Xenopus tropicalis: one gene and its partners. The protein of the gene in region 3 interacts with the protein of the main gene of each other region in a biochemical or structural test. Links are inferred from orthologs where the notes say so. Each region holds a gene or a part of one and is shown on either strand. Other genes may lie near its edges.

What was found.
Region 1: the proteins of cdk2 (region 3) and skp1 are reported together in a solved structure, tested with the Homo sapiens proteins (2 studies listed by BioGRID, with this or other methods). The link is inferred for Xenopus tropicalis from reciprocal best matches to the Homo sapiens genes CDK2 and SKP1.
Region 2: of the proteins of cdk2 (region 3) and npm1, one has a biochemical effect on the other in vitro, tested with the Homo sapiens proteins (2 studies listed by BioGRID). The link is inferred for Xenopus tropicalis from reciprocal best matches to the Homo sapiens genes CDK2 and NPM1.

The regions. Positions count from the first base shown.
Region 1 is NC_030679.2:26,566,907-26,572,733, reverse strand, and holds skp1 (S-phase kinase-associated protein 1), read right to left. Parts: upstream 3,848-5,827; 5' UTR 3,846-3,847; coding exon 3,749-3,845; intron 3,018-3,748; coding exon 2,944-3,017; intron 2,289-2,943; coding exon 2,145-2,288; intron 929-2,144; coding exon 788-928; intron 677-787; coding exon 641-676; 3' UTR 382-640; downstream 1-381. UniProt on the Homo sapiens protein: Essential component of the SCF (SKP1-CUL1-F-box protein) ubiquitin ligase complex, which mediates the ubiquitination of proteins involved in cell cycle progression, signal transduction and transcription.
Region 2 is NC_030679.2:20,061,550-20,067,420, forward strand, and holds the start of npm1 (nucleophosmin), read left to right. Parts: upstream 1-2,024; 5' UTR 2,025-2,076; coding exon 2,077-2,137; intron 2,138-5,871. UniProt on the Homo sapiens protein: Involved in diverse cellular processes such as ribosome biogenesis, centrosome duplication, protein chaperoning, histone assembly, cell proliferation, and regulation of tumor suppressors p53/TP53 and ARF.
Region 3 is NC_030678.2:137,878,768-137,884,149, reverse strand, and holds part of cdk2 (cyclin-dependent kinase 2), read left to right. Parts: coding exon 1-119; intron 120-3,454; coding exon 3,455-3,625; intron 3,626-3,848; coding exon 3,849-3,950; intron 3,951-5,361; coding exon 5,362-5,382. UniProt on the Homo sapiens protein: Serine/threonine-protein kinase involved in the control of the cell cycle; essential for meiosis, but dispensable for mitosis. Phosphorylates CABLES1, CTNNB1, CDK2AP2, ERCC6, NBN, USP37, p53/TP53, NPM1, CDK7, RB1, BRCA2, MYC, NPAT, EZH2.

The sequences.
Region 1 (5,827 bases), on a different chromosome or scaffold from region 3:
AAGCTTTTAGAGGGAAAGGTAAACCACTAAAGTCTCCCTGTGACATTCAGAGCTGGGACACCACACAAGATAAATACTCGCACATGAACTTGAGACACGTTCGTTAAAGTATGAAATCAGTGTCTGTATGCATAGAAGGTGAACTTTATATAAAAACAAAAATTCACAACCTCATAACTGCCTGAGTGGCCAATTACACTAAACAGAGAAGAGTCTGTCACATACATGTTCCAGGCAGATTATTTTGCCATACACACAAAACAGCACACATTGTGATTTGCTGCTGAAGTTGCCTTGTCAGAGAAGCCAAAATCTAGGAAATGTAAAGTTCTGTCAAAACACAGTTCTGCAAGAACAGGAGTAGACTACTGTGATGCCATCTTTCATCTTCAAAGCACGCAGCTAACAGGTTTATTATTGTTTTAAAGGAAATATCACACAAGATTACAATGGTTAAAACACGGCTTGAAGATCTGAATTACTCAATAAGAAAAAAAAAAAAAAATGTCAGACACAACACATGCAGCAAAACATCCTCCTGCTAATTTAAGCTGCTGAATTGTCTAGTATAAACAGAGCAGTGCAACTAGTTGATTTGGAACGACTTGTACAGTGTTACAGTGGTAACAGGTATGCAACTTCACTTTTCTTCACACCACTGATTCTCTTTGCGTACCTAAAAGGAAAATAGCATAAAAGAGGTTCATTAATAAATACTCTTGTTGGAGTGGAGATATTGGCTGACACACTTGTAAAAGGAAATAAACTTAAGCGTATAAATATATACCTGAGCTTCTTCCTCCTCAGTAAAGTCGTTTTTGATGTTGAAGGTCTTTCGAATTTCTTCTGGCGTTTTTCCTTTAATCATGTTTGCAACTGTCTTGCAGGTGACATCAAGCAATCCTTTGATATCCAAATAGTTGGCAGCCTGAAGATAAAAAAAAAAAAAAAAAAAAGCAAAATCAAACCAGCCCCCAATTTTTTTTTGACCAGCAAGAACTCAAACCCACCCCTGATTTGCTCACACTCCCTTGTATTTGATATGGTACCAATAGACTGCAGAAAAGCTTATGAATTGGCTTAGAAGCAATATATGTTTATGACAATGACACAAAAGTTATGCAGCTCAATCAGTGCCACCAAGAATGTAGCATCCTTTAGGAGGAACTGGACAAACTGGGAGACTGGCCTGCTAAGTGGCATTCCAAAATATGCAAGGAGCTGGGGTGACTTGTGGAAAATAAACTTAGCTTTAGCAAGCAATGCCAGTCAGCGGAAGGAAGAGCCAGCAAGGTATACAGACTCAGAGGGGAAGTACATATTCCCACTTTAGAAAACACTGGCAAAGGCCCCATCTAGAATATGCAGTGCAGTATTGGTCTCAAATCCTTAAATGGATATTAATGAAATAGTAGCTCTTTTTGGACTCGCTCTAAATTAATGAAGGGTATTTTATGAGGAAAAGTTATCATACGTGCTTTAAGTGGCGTATAAGCACTACATATGAATATGCAAGTGTAATTTATGTATATAGGATTGAGATGAAAAAAAAAAAAATAGTTTCAGCCATTTTCAGTTTGGAAGTTAAATCTATGCTGACTGAGGAATATATGGACATGTGTATGTAAATTTTTAAAAATCTTTTATGAATTAGTGTATAAATTTCTAGTAACTGTTGTGTTATGTGTTAACAAGTAAAATGGCAGCCACGTTTTAATGTATGAATAAAATTATGTGTGTTAAAACTATATTGCTCAGAAGCAACATGCAGATGCCATGTGGATGCCTTTATTGAAGCCACTAAGGACAAAATTATGCACAACGTTTCATATATGTGGGCTCACCCTTACCTCTCAAGTGCAGGAGAACAAGCACACTTTGTTGGAACATGTTAATGGCAAGGTTTTTAAATATCAACTCTCCTACCTCTTTCGGACAAAAACACAAATAATTACTGGCTGTGTTGTGTGTGCACTACCTTCAGGCTGTGTTGTGTGTGCAATACCTTCAGACTGTGTGGTACTTTAAGTTGCAGGTTCCCTTTAAGGTTATTAATACTACTAAGTACAAGTACTAGAAATACACTTATGTAATTCTAATGGGTTCTATAAAAGCTGTTGGGTTTTTTGGTGAGCATGCCTCACCAAAATCAGTTCAAATAGTGTTCCCTGATCCACTTTTAAAAACTCTTGGTCCCACACAGGGATATCATCTGTTCTCTTCTCTTTGTTTTCATCGTCTTCGGGTGGAGGGGGATCATCTTTATGATGTGTACACCACTGAATGACCTGATGAAAATAAAAGTACATAGGTATTTATCTTTATGATTTATACAACTGACTGCATTTGTTGGCCAGGTCCTGAATCCAAGACAATGTGGTACTGCTAAACTTAAGATATGTTCAATTTCATCATTTTGTTGTTTATATGTTAATATAATTCAAGCTAGTAAAAAAAAAAAAAAAAAAAAAAGTAAATCTTGTAACAACCTACACTTGAAGAGCTAAACCAAAAATAGGAGCAATGTCCTCTACTGCCTGAATTAGAGAGCAAGTGTTTCTAGGTCTGAAACAGTATACATCATAACTCAAGAATATGAAACCCCAAACAGCAGGATGAAGTTCCTAATAACCAATAGTTCAGTTTTATTTTTTTACTTGCCAATATGCCTTAAAACCCTGGCATTTATAAGTAGTTCTTCTTCTGGCAGTGATAAGCAAATATAAATAATGTGTGTGTGTGTGTGTGTGTAGGGGGGGGGGAGGCTGTTGCAACTTTTTAATTAACACAATTCTGAATCTGGTACAATTTTTTTGTCCTAATTACATTGCATTATATCCCTGCAGCAAACCAACACCTCTAAAAAAAAAAAAAACAATCTCTAATCTGCATCCAGTATTCTAGTATGGGTATACGTAAAACCACTACCTAAATAGCACTTACTTTTTTAAGGATTGCAGCATTAACATTGGGAAGTGGCACAGGGTCATCATCACCTTCATCATCCATACCCAGATCTGTTTAAAAACATTTAATTGATAACTGTGTCTTGCCAAAAAAATGTAAAAAAAAACCCAAGATAATTTAGACAGAAAGGCAATGTTCTAAAACTATAGTCAAATAAGAGATTTCTCAAGAATTTACACAAAATAAATTTAAACACAACAGAAATATTACAACCAGTTCCTCTGAGGACAATTTTTTTTCAGCAAGACTGCTACTTATTTGTTATATTGGGATCACTGCTGTTATGAGTAGTTTGAAACGCTGTGTACCTGTTATGTAGTGAACAGCACCAAAACTTTTTTTTTTTTTAATAAAAAGCCCTTATTCCATCATTTCCAAATCCTGGATTGTACAAACAATGTTTTCTAAAGTACCCTGTGTACCTGTCTCTTATCAGTGTAAAAGGAGCTACTACCTAAAAAGATAATCCTCCACAAACCCAAGAAATTTCCCAATTTGAAAGTGGATGACAAAATGATTGGAATTACCCCTGACATTTCAATTGCAAATGTCTGTTCACCCAGGTGCACTCAAAGGTCATGCAAATGCTACATAGAAGAAAAATTCCCAGCAATATTGTTTCTGTAAAGGGATTGCTTTTGGAGAGAATCCACTCAATTGCCCAATGTGCCTTTACACCAACACTTTCAAAGCTAGGAGAATAAAAACAAATGAAGACCTGCACACCAGAGGACAAAATTATAAAGAATACATATTCAAAGAATTTTTTTTTAAAAAGTACCTTCCAACATAGTTTTAATTGTTACTGACTGCTTTGCAATTTCAACATCCACTTCAAAAATCTCTCCATCAGAACTCTGCAGCTTTATAGAAGGCATCTGAAAAACAAAAACACATTAATCAACACAAACAGTACTGCTTAGTGAAGTTACTGCAAGCAAAACAGAAAGAAAATCAATTGGTACTTTCAATGAGAGATGATCAGGAAGGCAGCTGTGAAACTCAAGATGCTGCACTGAAGCACATTTAAGCATGGTGAGCAGGAGAGACATGGGAACAAAATGGCAGCAAGCACAGCAAGTGCACTGCAGGCCATTGTAGGCAAGTAGAATCACAGAGTGGCTAACATGGCAACCACCCCCCCAGTGACTATACCTTTCCTTCTGCTTTAATGAAATGCAAACATCATGTTTCATGCCCTGGTTGTCAGTAAGGCAGGGCCAATAAAAATAATCATCTATACAACAGCCCTGGTGCCTGGTTGCTTCAGTCTCTGCCCAAGACCCACACCAACTGTGCAATATACAGTGGTCTGGCACGGCCTAATGAGCAAAGGGAAGAAGCTGCAGCTAGTAGGAATAAGAAGGGGCCTGCCAACTGTTGCCAGCACCCTGCCCTCCACTACCAGGAAGAGAATAAGGAGCTAAAAGCTTTGGGTCTCATCCGGAATGTGCAATTACCGGTACTCTGCAATTTTCAGAGAGCTGTGCAGGAATTGGGAAAATGCACTAAATTCTAACAGCTGTCAACCTGGCACTGCTCCTTTAACAGCCGACTGCAAATGGCTGGACAGCTGGAGATGGATGAACCCTTGTTAACACTGGCCACCATTAGTGTGCACGCAGTACACAAAGGGAAAGTGTCTCTGGCATATATGATGTGGGAAAGACTTACTGAGCAGGTATAACTATGGAAGCAGAACAAAGTAATTACCAACAAAGGGTGTCATTTTACTGCTGCAGTATGACTTTGCCAATAGCAGCCAGGATAATGGCAATTGCCAAGCTCCAAATCTGCATTAGAGGCCATTTGCCCATCCTGCCCAGAAAAAGAATCTGTACATCAATAGTTGACATACAGCCAATTACAGAGAGGACATTTGCTATCCCTGAGCCATGCTTTTCACTCAGCCTCATTTTAAACAAAGGCTTTATGAATTAAAATAACAGAAGTTTGGCCTAGACAGCAACATACAGAGCAGAGTGACTAACAGCACAAGGCAATAGGAATTACCATATTCTGTTAAAAAGAGGACTGGTTATTAAATATCTTAGAGGGGACAGAGTGTACTTGAAATCTTAATTGTGTAGTTAAGCACATTTTTAATCTTACAGGTATGGGATCTAGATTAAGGAGACTCATTATCAAGAAAGCTTTTGGAAATGCCATTTTATTATTGTTTGACCAATTTCCTTTTGCTCTATAATAGTGGATATTTCAAAACGGTGACTGATCCCCTACAAGTTCCATGTGAGAGTCCACTGTGCCCAGGTAAACAAATATACTGTTTAATTTATTATAACAAATATAATGGTTTATAAGGAGTGGGTCCAGCCTACATGGACTTGTCAGACGAGAATGGCATCAAAGTGACAATGCAGTCTTTGCCATGTAGGATTTTCAACCCTGCCGAATATATATCTAATTTTGTTTGGGTATGGATGGGCTGGGTCAGCAGGTGTTAAGACAATAGTTGACTGAAAAGTTTTTCATATACTTTTTCAGGCACTCTACATATTGTAGCCTTCACCATTCCCAGCTACAGTCTGTTGATCTCAATGGTGGCCAATAAAAAGTGCAACAATTTTTTTGCACTAAAAGGAAGTAAACTGCAGGTAAAAATCAGTCCCTGCGTACTAATGTATAATGAAGCAGTAAAATACTTAATAAATAATATAAAAGTCAGTACGGGAATTAAATTTGGCATAGTTGGCCAGCTTTCAGTATATTGCTAAAAGGGGAGGTCATTTCTTAGTAGCTTAATGCACAGAATGTCTTAATGTCCTATATCTATACCTATATCTATCTCTCTCTCTCTCTGTATCTCTCTCTCTCTCTGTATCTCTCTCTCTCTCTGTAT
Region 2 (5,871 bases), on a different chromosome or scaffold from region 3:
TGAGAAAGGGTCCTTTGTGGCCCGAAAAATGTTGTGGTTAATAAACAGTTGTTTGCAGCAAAGTACTGCGGTGGCTTGTGCTCGTCTCACTTCAGTAAAGATTCCACAATACTGTAATTTGTGCCACTATGGCTTTATGAGCAATAGATCTTGGCAGACTAATTTAACTTTCTTCTATGAGGAACCTAGACTCTCGGATGGCAGTAGATTTACTTAGACTTTGCTAAAGCATTTTATACAGTACTACACAGAAGGATACTCCTTAAATTAAGGAATATTGACCTAGAACATAAAATTTGCATTTGGATAGAGAACTGGCTGAAGGATAGATTACAAAGAGCGGTGGTAAATGGAGCAGTCTCTAATTAGACCAGTGTCAGTGGAGTACCGCAGGGGTCAGTCCTTAGCCCTTTGCTTTTTAACTTGTTTATTAATGACCTGGAGGTGGGCATAGACAGTACTGTCTCTATCTTTGCTGACGACACTAAATTGTGCAAAGCTATAAATTCCATGCAGGATGCTGCCGCTTTGCAGAGCGATTTGACTAATCTGGAAAACTAAGCCTGTGTGCACATCCTGTGCCTGGGCCCAGACAGGGCTGATACATTACTGGATAGCAAGCGGTGTAATTCCTGGCAATGTCATTCTGTGGCTACTAAAGCAAATAAAGTGCTGTCTTGTATAAAAAAGGGCATTGACTCAAGGGATGAGAACATAATTTTGCCTCTTTATAGGTCCCTGGTAAGGCCTCACCTTGAGTATGCAGTGCAGTTTTGGGCTCCAGTCCTTAAGAAGGATATTAATGAGCTGGAGAGAGTGCAGAGACTGCAACTAAACTGGTAAAGGAGATGGAAGATTTTATATTCTAAAGTATATTAATGTGTGTGCTGTATCGCACTTTAAATAGGGGTACAATCTCTCATATAAATGCAGCTTGTTTAGGAGAGATCATCTGAAAATACAGAGGTTTCCTGAACCCCTATGTGGCTCCCAATAAAAGGGCTAACAGATCTTTCTTAAACCCCAATGAAAGGGCTAACATGTTTCCTGAATGGAAATAAAAAGGCTAAAGGTGGCCATACACAGGAAGATCCGCTCGCTTGGCGATGTCGTCAAGCGAGCGGATCTTCACCCGATATCCCCACCTACGGGTGGCGATATCGGGGAGGCATGTAGGTGAGGGCCAAATGATCGAATTCTGCACGCGGCAATGGGGCATACGGTTCGGGGACCGCATCAACGAGCCGATGCGGTCCCCGAACCGACGGGATTTTCTAACCTGGCCGACCGATATCTGGCCAATTTCAGGCCAGATATTGGTCGGCCAGTCCGCTCGTTTCTGCCCCTACACGGGCCGATAAGCTGACGAGTCGGTCCAAGGGACCGATATCGGCAGCTTCTATCGGCCCATGTATGGGGACCTTAAGGTCCCTATGTATATGAACATTTTTAATTGACATTAAATAATTTGATTGGCATTAAATACACCTTTCAGATCCATTTTTTTCTTTTTAAAACCATTCCACATTTATTTTGCTAGGCTGAAATTAGTGTAAAAAGTAAAAGTGGCCTATAATCAAAGCCACACCCATAGCAGAAAAGGCACTGCCTCAGACTAGTATCTCACTTTCCATATTATATCAAAAGCAGTTTAAAACCAGTAAACATGTCTAAAGCCCGCATATGAGAACGTTACTAAAATTAATTATTACATTAATTATACACAAAAAGAGTTCAGGGATAGAGATCCCCTTTAACAATCTCTGCTATGGACACAGGCCTACACAACGTGAACTCCTTGCCATTATCTTACAAACAAGCACATGGTGGGTCACGTTAAATTCCTATAAACCCACAGCTCGTTTTGCGCAATCACATACCTCACAGCAGAACGTGTTTAGCCAATCGTAAACTGCGTTACTTGTTTGAGGGAAAATAGCCCCGCCTTTCTATGGCGTGAAATCTCGCGAGAAAAAGGCCCGTACATATAGAGACACGTTGCGCGCCATTAGTTCTCAGAATCCGTCCGTGCCGCTGTAGAGTAGAGGGGGTACATCTGAATTGAATTGGAACAAAATGGAAGACTCCATGGATATGGATAGCATTGCTCCCCTGCGCCCTCAGAATTTTCTCTTTGGTATGTATACAGTACCAGGGGTTTTGAAACTCGGCCACGGGTTTTTTTTGGGAAATATTATATAGACGTCACACGTTCCGCTGACTTGTTCATGGCTCCCCGGTGTCCTGCTTTTAACGGGACAGCCCAGTTTTGCGTCACTCAGCCCGCTGTCCCGGGCTTTTGTTGGAATGTCCCCGCTCCTTCCTCACGGTTAGACTGCTCCTGGGCGCAGGAGCCGAAAGCATGGATTCATTGCTGCTGCCCTTTGCCTTTCTATGGCTCCCCTCCTGCTACCACTACCACATTATGTGGAATATAGATTCCTTCTCCCTCCCCCAGGTACAAGCTGCACCAAATGAATGCTCTTTAACTGCTTCCGCCTCCATCTCTCCTTCATATTACCTCCCTACCCAGAGTTATCCTAAACTTTGAAGCCAATATTGCTCCAGTTTATCATCTATAATACCACCTATATCTATAATACCACCTGCAGGTTCTGTTAGCTACAACTCCCTGCACCCATCAATATCTAACATACATTGTACAGCTCCTATTTAGCTACAACTCCCTGTAACATGTGCCATTGTTTCAATATCTCCACGTGTAAATAGCCATGTGCCTATCAGCTGGAGCTGCCATTCTTACCTCTGCACTTATCATCAGGAAGGAAGAGTTAAATATATATAGATATATATAAAATAGTCTAGATAGATATATCTATCTATCTAATCAAATAGTTAAGAATTTTAAAACTAATTTCCTTTTTCTCTGTAATAAAATAGTACCTTGTAATTGATCCCAAGATATAATTAATCCTTATTGAATGCAAAACAATCCTATTGGGTTTAATTAATGTTTTGTTGATTTTTTTAGTGTATTTAACGTATGGAGATCTAAATTACAGAAAGACCCCTTATCCAGAATACCCTTGGTCCTGAGCATTCTGGATAACAGGAGATAGATAGATATAGGTAGATATATTCTCGATAGATAGATAGATAGATAGATACAGAGATATATCTCAGGTTCTCTATAGAGAACCTATCTCTGTATCTATCTATAGAGAATATATCTACCTATATCTATCTCCTGTTATCCAGAATGCTCAGGACCAAGGGTATTCTGGATAAGGGGTCTTTCTGTAATTTAGATCTCCGTACCTTAAATCCACTAAAAAAATCAATAAAACATTAATTAAACCCAATAGGATTGTTTTGAATTCAATAAGGATTAATTATATTTTGGGAACAATTACAAGGTACTGTTTTATTACAGAGAGAAAGGAAATCTGTTTTAAAATTCTGAACTTTGATTAAAATGGAGTCTATTGGAGACAGGCTTTCTGTAATTTGGAGCTTTCTGGATAACAGGTTTCCGGATAAGGGATCCCGTACATGTGTTTCAAAATAAATAAAAAAAAAATACACACAAGTGCCATAAATATCCCATAAAAGATATCTTTATAAATGGTGCCTGTTCATGTAATTTGTCACATGACTTGCATAAACTTGTGTATTGTAATAAAGTACCCACTGTTGTAAAATGAGGATATTCGAAGTCACCTTGGAGTTGGGCTATGGAATGTCTGATTTATAACACATGTAACACTTTTTTTGGCTGTAACCCAGCCAACTATGTAGAAGGGACCAAACCGAGCTATGGTGTAGTGCAACTACAACCCACTGTAGCTGTGTGCAGTTCAGAATAACAAATGAGAGCCAGAAGGTTCTTGCAGTTGAACAATAGAATCAGTTTATTGTTAGAGATATGCATGGTTATATATCAATATGCAGGGTAAGTGTAATATACTCACAGCAGTTTAGCATAGCATTTCTCTGCAGACAGCACAGAGGGTGCACATCCATTCCTCACAACTCCTCTTGAGTCTGGCCAGGGTCCGTGCCACTGGTTCAGTTTATCCACCCTTTGGAACAGTCAGATTGGATACCACACTCCTCAGGTTGAACACCTCTAGCCCTCAGGCTCCCACAGCAACTCTGGATAAGGGTTCTGATACTGCCTGCCTTCTATGTCTAAGGGCTCTGGCACACTGGGAGAGCCCTTAACCGTGGCCCTACGCTAAGGCAACAGTGCCTGTCTGGAAGTGTACTTCCAAAACTACTTTATTTGGTGGAGCCAAACTGCCCTTGCTTCCTTCCCTCACTATCTCGCTTTCCTAGAAAGTGCTCAACACAACATGCTATCTAACTGGTCCTCATTCACAGGGTCCCTGTCACTGACTTCTCTAGAGTCGATGCAGACTCTACGGTAATCACTTTACTGGGTCCCTGTTGATCCCAGGCTCAGTGGAACTTCCACCTGGGTCAGCAGATGGAGCCAAAGAGAAAGCCACACCCCCCTGCTAAGCACTATATCAGTGTGCCAAGGGAGTGGTCTCCCTGGTAACCAATAAGGCACATATGCAAAACTCTAAACTGATACATGGGTCTTTGCCCAGTAACTGCACAAGCCAAGGAAGCTGCAGGGTTTAAAGCCATAGGGGCATGTTAACCCTATAGGTCCCTACATGTATTTTTTTTTTTTTTTTTTTACAGTAGAGGGGACTTTAATCACTATTTGACGATGCATGGAGGTACAAAGGGCAATGCATTGTAAAAGTGAGTTCTTCAATAGGTAGAAAGATGTACATATAAAGCAGTTAGCCCATGCAAGAGGTAGAGGGCTCTGTCTGAAAGAGCTTACAATCTAAGGTAAAATATGTGGCATAGAGCATGGAATTTAATAGAACATTTCTTTAGAAAAGCTTGAGAGTTCTTTTAAAGGCAGGAAGACTGGGAGACAGTTGGACATCATGTGGGAGTAAATTCCAGAGAAGAGGGTGCAGCCCTAGTAAAGTCTCATTTGTGAGGAGATAATGAATGAGGTGTTGCATTGATCAATAGAGCGTAACAAGCAGTTTGAGGAGTTCAGAGATGTAGAGCGGGGCACAGTTTTGAAATGCTGCATGTTGGTGCTTCTTTAGGCAAAATGGTGATATGGGATAAACACACAGTGGCATGGATTTTTGTATGTTCTTCCTGTGTCCACATGGGTATCTTTCCTGTCTTATAGAAACATACAGGTGGATTAATTGGTCATATGTATATAATAAACACTATTGTGATAGGGACAGACTAAGCAGTACTAGTGCAGGGACTGATGTGAATGGTGTGTAATTTCTAAGAGCATTAAAATATATTGGCACTATATAAGTGTTTTAATAATCTAGTATAAGTGTCTCCATAGACAAAGGGATGCTTTAAGCGCTATTTCATAATGAGCTTAATTAGGTCTTGATCTGAATACTTTTCTTTTAATAAAGAAATCCGTTTTGTTATTTTCAGCAATAAATACACTTAATCCAGTTTCACTTTAGTACTTCCTGTCAGTTCTGGTTCTGACAAGCAGATGGACTGATATATTTACCAGTCCACTGAGAAGCCCTCTGATGAACTGCTCAAAGAGTGTACTTTAAGGGCTCTGGCACACGGGGAGATTAGTCGCCCGTGACAAATCTCCCGTGTCTCAGGCGACTAATCTCCCCGGATTGCCATCCCACCGGCGAAAATGTAAATCGCTGGTGGGATGGCATAAGCGGCGGCGCGATTTCAGTGAGATCGCAAGTTTCCTCTCAAGGCAACTTGCGCGATCTCGCTGAAATCGCGCCGCCGCGTGTGCCATCTCACTGGCGACTTACACTTTTGCCGATGGGGTGGCAGGTGATTGCAACTCGGGGAGAATAGTCGCCTGAG
Region 3 (5,382 bases):
TTCTTGATGTCATTCATACAGAAAACAAGCTCTACCTTGTATTTGAGTTCCTTAACCAAGATCTGAAGAAATTCATGGACGGTTCAAACATTTCTGGAATTTCACTAGCCCTAGTTAAAGTAAGAAATACATGTGCCTATTACACTTAAGAACACTGTAACATTAATGCAAATTAATGCAAAAATTGCATTTTCAGTACCTATGCAAAATAATAAATAAGAAATGGGAGGGTTGTGGGGACTAATTTAACTGTAGAAAAAAAGTACTGACAGTCTTGTTAAAGGGGTGGTTCACCTTCAAGAAATCTTTTATTATGTTATAGAATGTCCTATTCCAAGCAACTTTGCAATTTGTCTACATTATTTATAGTTTGTTTTTTTTTAATTATTTGCCGCCTTTGTCTACATCTTTCCAGCTTTTACATGGGTGTCACTGACCCCGCTAGCCTAACTTTTTCTCTTTGAGGCTACAACTTTATTTTCATTGTTATCTTTTTATTTAATCCCTCTTCTATTCATATTAGTGTCTCATTCACAACACTGCCTGGTTGCTAAGACCCTAGCAACCACATATCTGCTGAAATACCAAACTGGAGAGCTGCTAAACAAAAAATGAAAACCAATTTCTAATTGTCTCGGTATATCAATGTCTACATCATACTTAAAGGTGAACATGGCTTTATTAGTTCATAGGAAACAAGTACATTGTCAGTGTATGGCTTCTCTTATACAGTCTGAGCAAATGTTAGGAGATCACTCATTATTATAATGTGACCTGCAGGGCTACACATCACATAAGAAAGGATTGCATAACTAGAATATACTGTAATTATGAAGAGAAGCAGGTTGTCAATAGCCACGTTCCTTGACAGTGTAGTCTTGTAGAAGGCTAAAACTGCTAGCTGAGGCTAGCTAACATCTTTAAGAAAAACAATGGGGTAAATAATTATACTTTCAACTCTTCAAAACATTTAAATTATAAAGGGTTTAATAAACTTTTTGATTCCAGCCTGAGCACTATCTGCAAGGTGTTCTTGCATGTGTGGGTTACCTCCTATACATACCACATACCCAAATTAACTGACTGAGATTTAGATTTGCTTAGACTGATGTGAATGATGCGTAATATGTTGCTCCTATATAATTAAAGGATAGTAGTAATAAAAACTCAAGGACCAATAACACCAGGAAATGTAAAGGTATCATTAAAGCATTAGCAAATAAATCATCAGCAGGTCAGCCAAGCCACTCCTTTCCACTTTTCACCACTTCTCATAATAAGACCTCTTCTTCTGGTACAAACCAGTGTGTATGCTGGTACAACTGTATCAGTTTCCATTAAAAAATAACAAAAAAAAGTGTATAATTTACAGGTTAACATAAAATATGCCTGAATTTGTGTGATTCCACTTCTTTAACAACCTATATGTCTGTAGATACACTAAATTACTATGAGTGTTGGACACATTTTAAGAGCAATAAAAGTGCTTCTGGCAAGAGCTGAGGGTATTTACCATTTATAGTGTACCAGAAACAAATCTGTTAAAGGAGGTACGCTGGTTACTATCTAGAGCAGGCATTTTTTTTTTTTTTTTTTTTTTTTTAAGTAAAGGGGTAGTTCACCTTGTATTTATCTTTTTAGTATGATGTTGGCATTCATATTCTAAGACTACTTTCATTTTTATTTTTAGTGGTTTTTAAATTATTTAGCATTTTTTTCCAGAAGTTCTTCACTGTGGAATGTCAGCAGTTAGTTGGTTGCTATGGTCCAGTTTACATAGCAACCAAATTGGAATATGAATAGGAAAGTGTATGACAAGAAAGATAATAAACATTAACAATTGTAGCCTCACAGAGCAATAGTTTTTTGGCTGATAGACTCAGTGACCCCCATCTGACAGCTAGAAAAAAACTAGAATACAATTCAAAAACTATAAAAATGAAAACCAATTAAAAAGTTTCTAAGCGCAGTGCATTCTATAATATACTTAAATTTAATTTAAATGTGAGCAATAACAATATAGTCAATATTGTACAATCCACAGATTGTAAGACACAGCTACTTGGATGTGCATGGTGGTAGCAAAGAGATTAGATGTTCTTTGTATGTCTTTGATAATTGTATTTTTAAGTTTGTGATTTAAATAAAGCTGGCCATACTTGCTGCAGTAAAAGCTGCTGAATAGGGCACTGCTGGATCCTTTAGGTCAGGGTTCCCCAACCTTTCTCACTCATGAGCCACAGTCAAATGTAAAAAGACTTGGAGAGCAACACAAGCACCATAAAAGTTTATGGAGGTGCTAAAATTGGCTATTAGGGAGCCTCTATGCACACTATCAGCTTACAGGAGGCTTTATTTGGTAGGAAATCTTGTTTTTATTCAACCAAAGCTTGCCCCCAAGTCAGGAATTCAAAAATAACTACCTGGTTTGGGGGCACTGAGTGCAACATCCAAGGGGTTGGGGAGCAACATGTTGCCCTGAGCCACTGGTTGGGGACCACTGCTTTAGGTCCACAGAATGATCTGATATTTGGATCTGCTCTTGGGTGGCAGAGATCCATGTTTAAAAGTATGGCCAGCATTTAAGAGTTTAGTTACTAATGCTGACAGATTTTATGAATTGCAGCGTTTATTGACTTGTAAGAAAAAAAATACAGGTCTATCGATTGCTTGGTAGTCTGAAATCTCAAATAAGGGAACATTTGAATCAAGTTTGCAGTTTCTGGCTATTTCCCCATGTGTGGCGCTCATTTCTCTCAGCTTGATTGCATAGGCAAAGTGGTTTTGCCTCCACCAGGAGTGGGATACATTGTTAAGATTTAGTTAAAGGATTTTTTGCCTGTGAAAGCAATTGGTAGCTAAATATTTCAATAACAATGTGCTCTTTACTCAAATATAAGAATATTGAACTCACTGAAGATTTAACTGTACTAAAGAAACCTGAAGTCACAAAACTGAGGTGGCTTCTAATGTCCATTTTTATTTAAATAGAGGCTACCTTATCCCTAATAAGCTATATCTCATATCCTTTCAGCAGACCTGCCAATTATGTAGGTATATATGCTTAGACTTCATTGTTTCTCATAGATTCTGTGATTTGCAATTAATAATGATCAGATTGCAGCTTAAGGACTTCACGATGAACAAATCCTGTCTGCACAGCTCTTAATTTGTAATTGCTTCCTTTTTTTGTTTTGTATTTGTGCCCTTTGGAGTCTTGATGGAAATATAGTATCTTCAATTTCAGTTTGGAGTATGACATATACATGTTGAAATCAATTTTTATTTCTAAATTTACATGAGCAAAATATTTTAAGGTAAAATTCAAATTTTGAAGTTGACATGATTATTGGCTAGTTCAAAATCTTAATAGCCCTATACTGTTCTACATATGTTGCATATGATGAGCAATACTCTCTATGAATATTTTTTTTTTTTATTCCTCTATCAACAGAGCTATCTGTTCCAGTTGCTCCAAGGTTTGGCTTTCTGCCACTCACATCGTGTCTTACATCGTGACTTAAAACCACAGAACCTGCTTATTAATTCTGAGGGTGCCATCAAACTTGCCGACTTTGGACTAGCTCGGGCATTTGGTGTGCCTGTGAGAACCTATACTCATGAGGTTAGTGTCTAAAGCATCTGGCCTCCCATAGTAGAACGTTTTATTCACTTATTTGAAAGTAAGAGCTCTATTTGTTTAAGGTGTGACTAAACATTTCACACCGCAGTTATCTCAGGTTCCCGTTATATGTTGGATATGATTTATAAACGCAAAAGAAAATGTCTGTATAATTATTATGCATGCAGCTGCAGTTTCAATGATCCATTATTCTTACTCTCTTTAGGTTGTCACCCTGTGGTACAGAGCACCAGAAATTCTTCTTGGCTGCAAGTTCTACTCCACGGCTGTAGATATCTGGAGCCTGGGATGTATATTTGCAGAAATGGTATAAACAGGTTTATACATATTGTTGCATTTCTTCTCAGTAGCTATAAATAGCTGTGTGGTTGATAGTTTTCCAAACAAAAGAAACATTTTTGCAATGCAGTTTTAATGTTTGTATGATACATATGGTTTACACATTTCTGCTTTTGTATTATTCTTGGAGAATATTTTGTCTAATATTTATTATCCTAACTGTGATAATGTATCATTTAGCTGCCCTTTTTGGTGTCTGCTGATTGTGTCTCTGCCTGGAGGAAAAAAATCGGAAATTGTTTAGCAAGAATGCAGGCCTAACATAGCAGAATTTTGTCGCCAAGATGAGAATAATGGCTGTAATGTATTCCACACAGCGTGACTTCAGTGTGGTTGAAATCATAAAAGCTTTGACCCAGTACTTCCTTCCTCTAAAATCTTGGATGTAAGAGGGTCATACTAGGGAGCTTTATGTGTGGTTAGAACTGCTGATAAAGGAATTTGTATCTTGAAGGGATAACTGGGATAATGATGGACTGTGGCTGTAATCTGTGGTGTCATTATAAATTCACTGGCGTGAACCTCGGTCACTGCCTGATTTAGCAATGACCACTTGGTGGTTGTGGTCTAAGGGTTTTACCTTGCAACTGGGCAACAGGCATCTAAATAGCCGAAGGTTATGCTCCACCTCTGTGTTGTAGATCAGCTATTAACCTATAACATTTTTGCTACAAGTCAAATACATTTTGTAATGGAAATTGCCACTCTCTGTGTATATTTCAAAATATAGCTGTTTTTTTCTGGTCATTTTAACTCTTAAATGGGAAAAATATGCAGTGGACCTTTGGATTAACGGCAAGGTCCATAGTGTTGTCCTGTTTAAAGGAGTACTAAACCCTAAAGATATGGTTGGAAAGCTGTATTTTATATACTGAACTTACTACCCCAGCCTGAAGGTTCAGCAACCCCTATAACAGTATTAATCCAGATCTTTGAAGCTCTCATAAGAGCTCACCATCTTGTATTCTGTTAGGAGTGTCAGTGACATGCACATTCTCAGACGTGTCTGACTAGCTGTTGAGAACTTAGGGGGTCGTCTCAAATTATTTCTGAACTGCAATGTAAAAGAAATCAGAATTAATTACTAAATTATCCTTGTTTCTGGTTTCATAGAGCCAGATGTTCCTTGTTAAAGGGCTGTGTTGGCCTTTGGTTCGTACAGAACCCCTAAACATAATGTGCAGCATTTTCATTCTTTAGTACTACTTTAAATGTAGTTAAATTAGATTTTAAAAAGTGCAGCTATATCTATAGCTACTTTAATTTTGTTTCTTCAACATAAATCTTTCAACTACATTTAAAGTAGTACTAAACTAACTATAACACTCCTTTTTTAATCTAGTCTGAACTTAAATGCATTTGTTTATCCCTTATGCTAGATCACTAGGAGAGCACTTTTT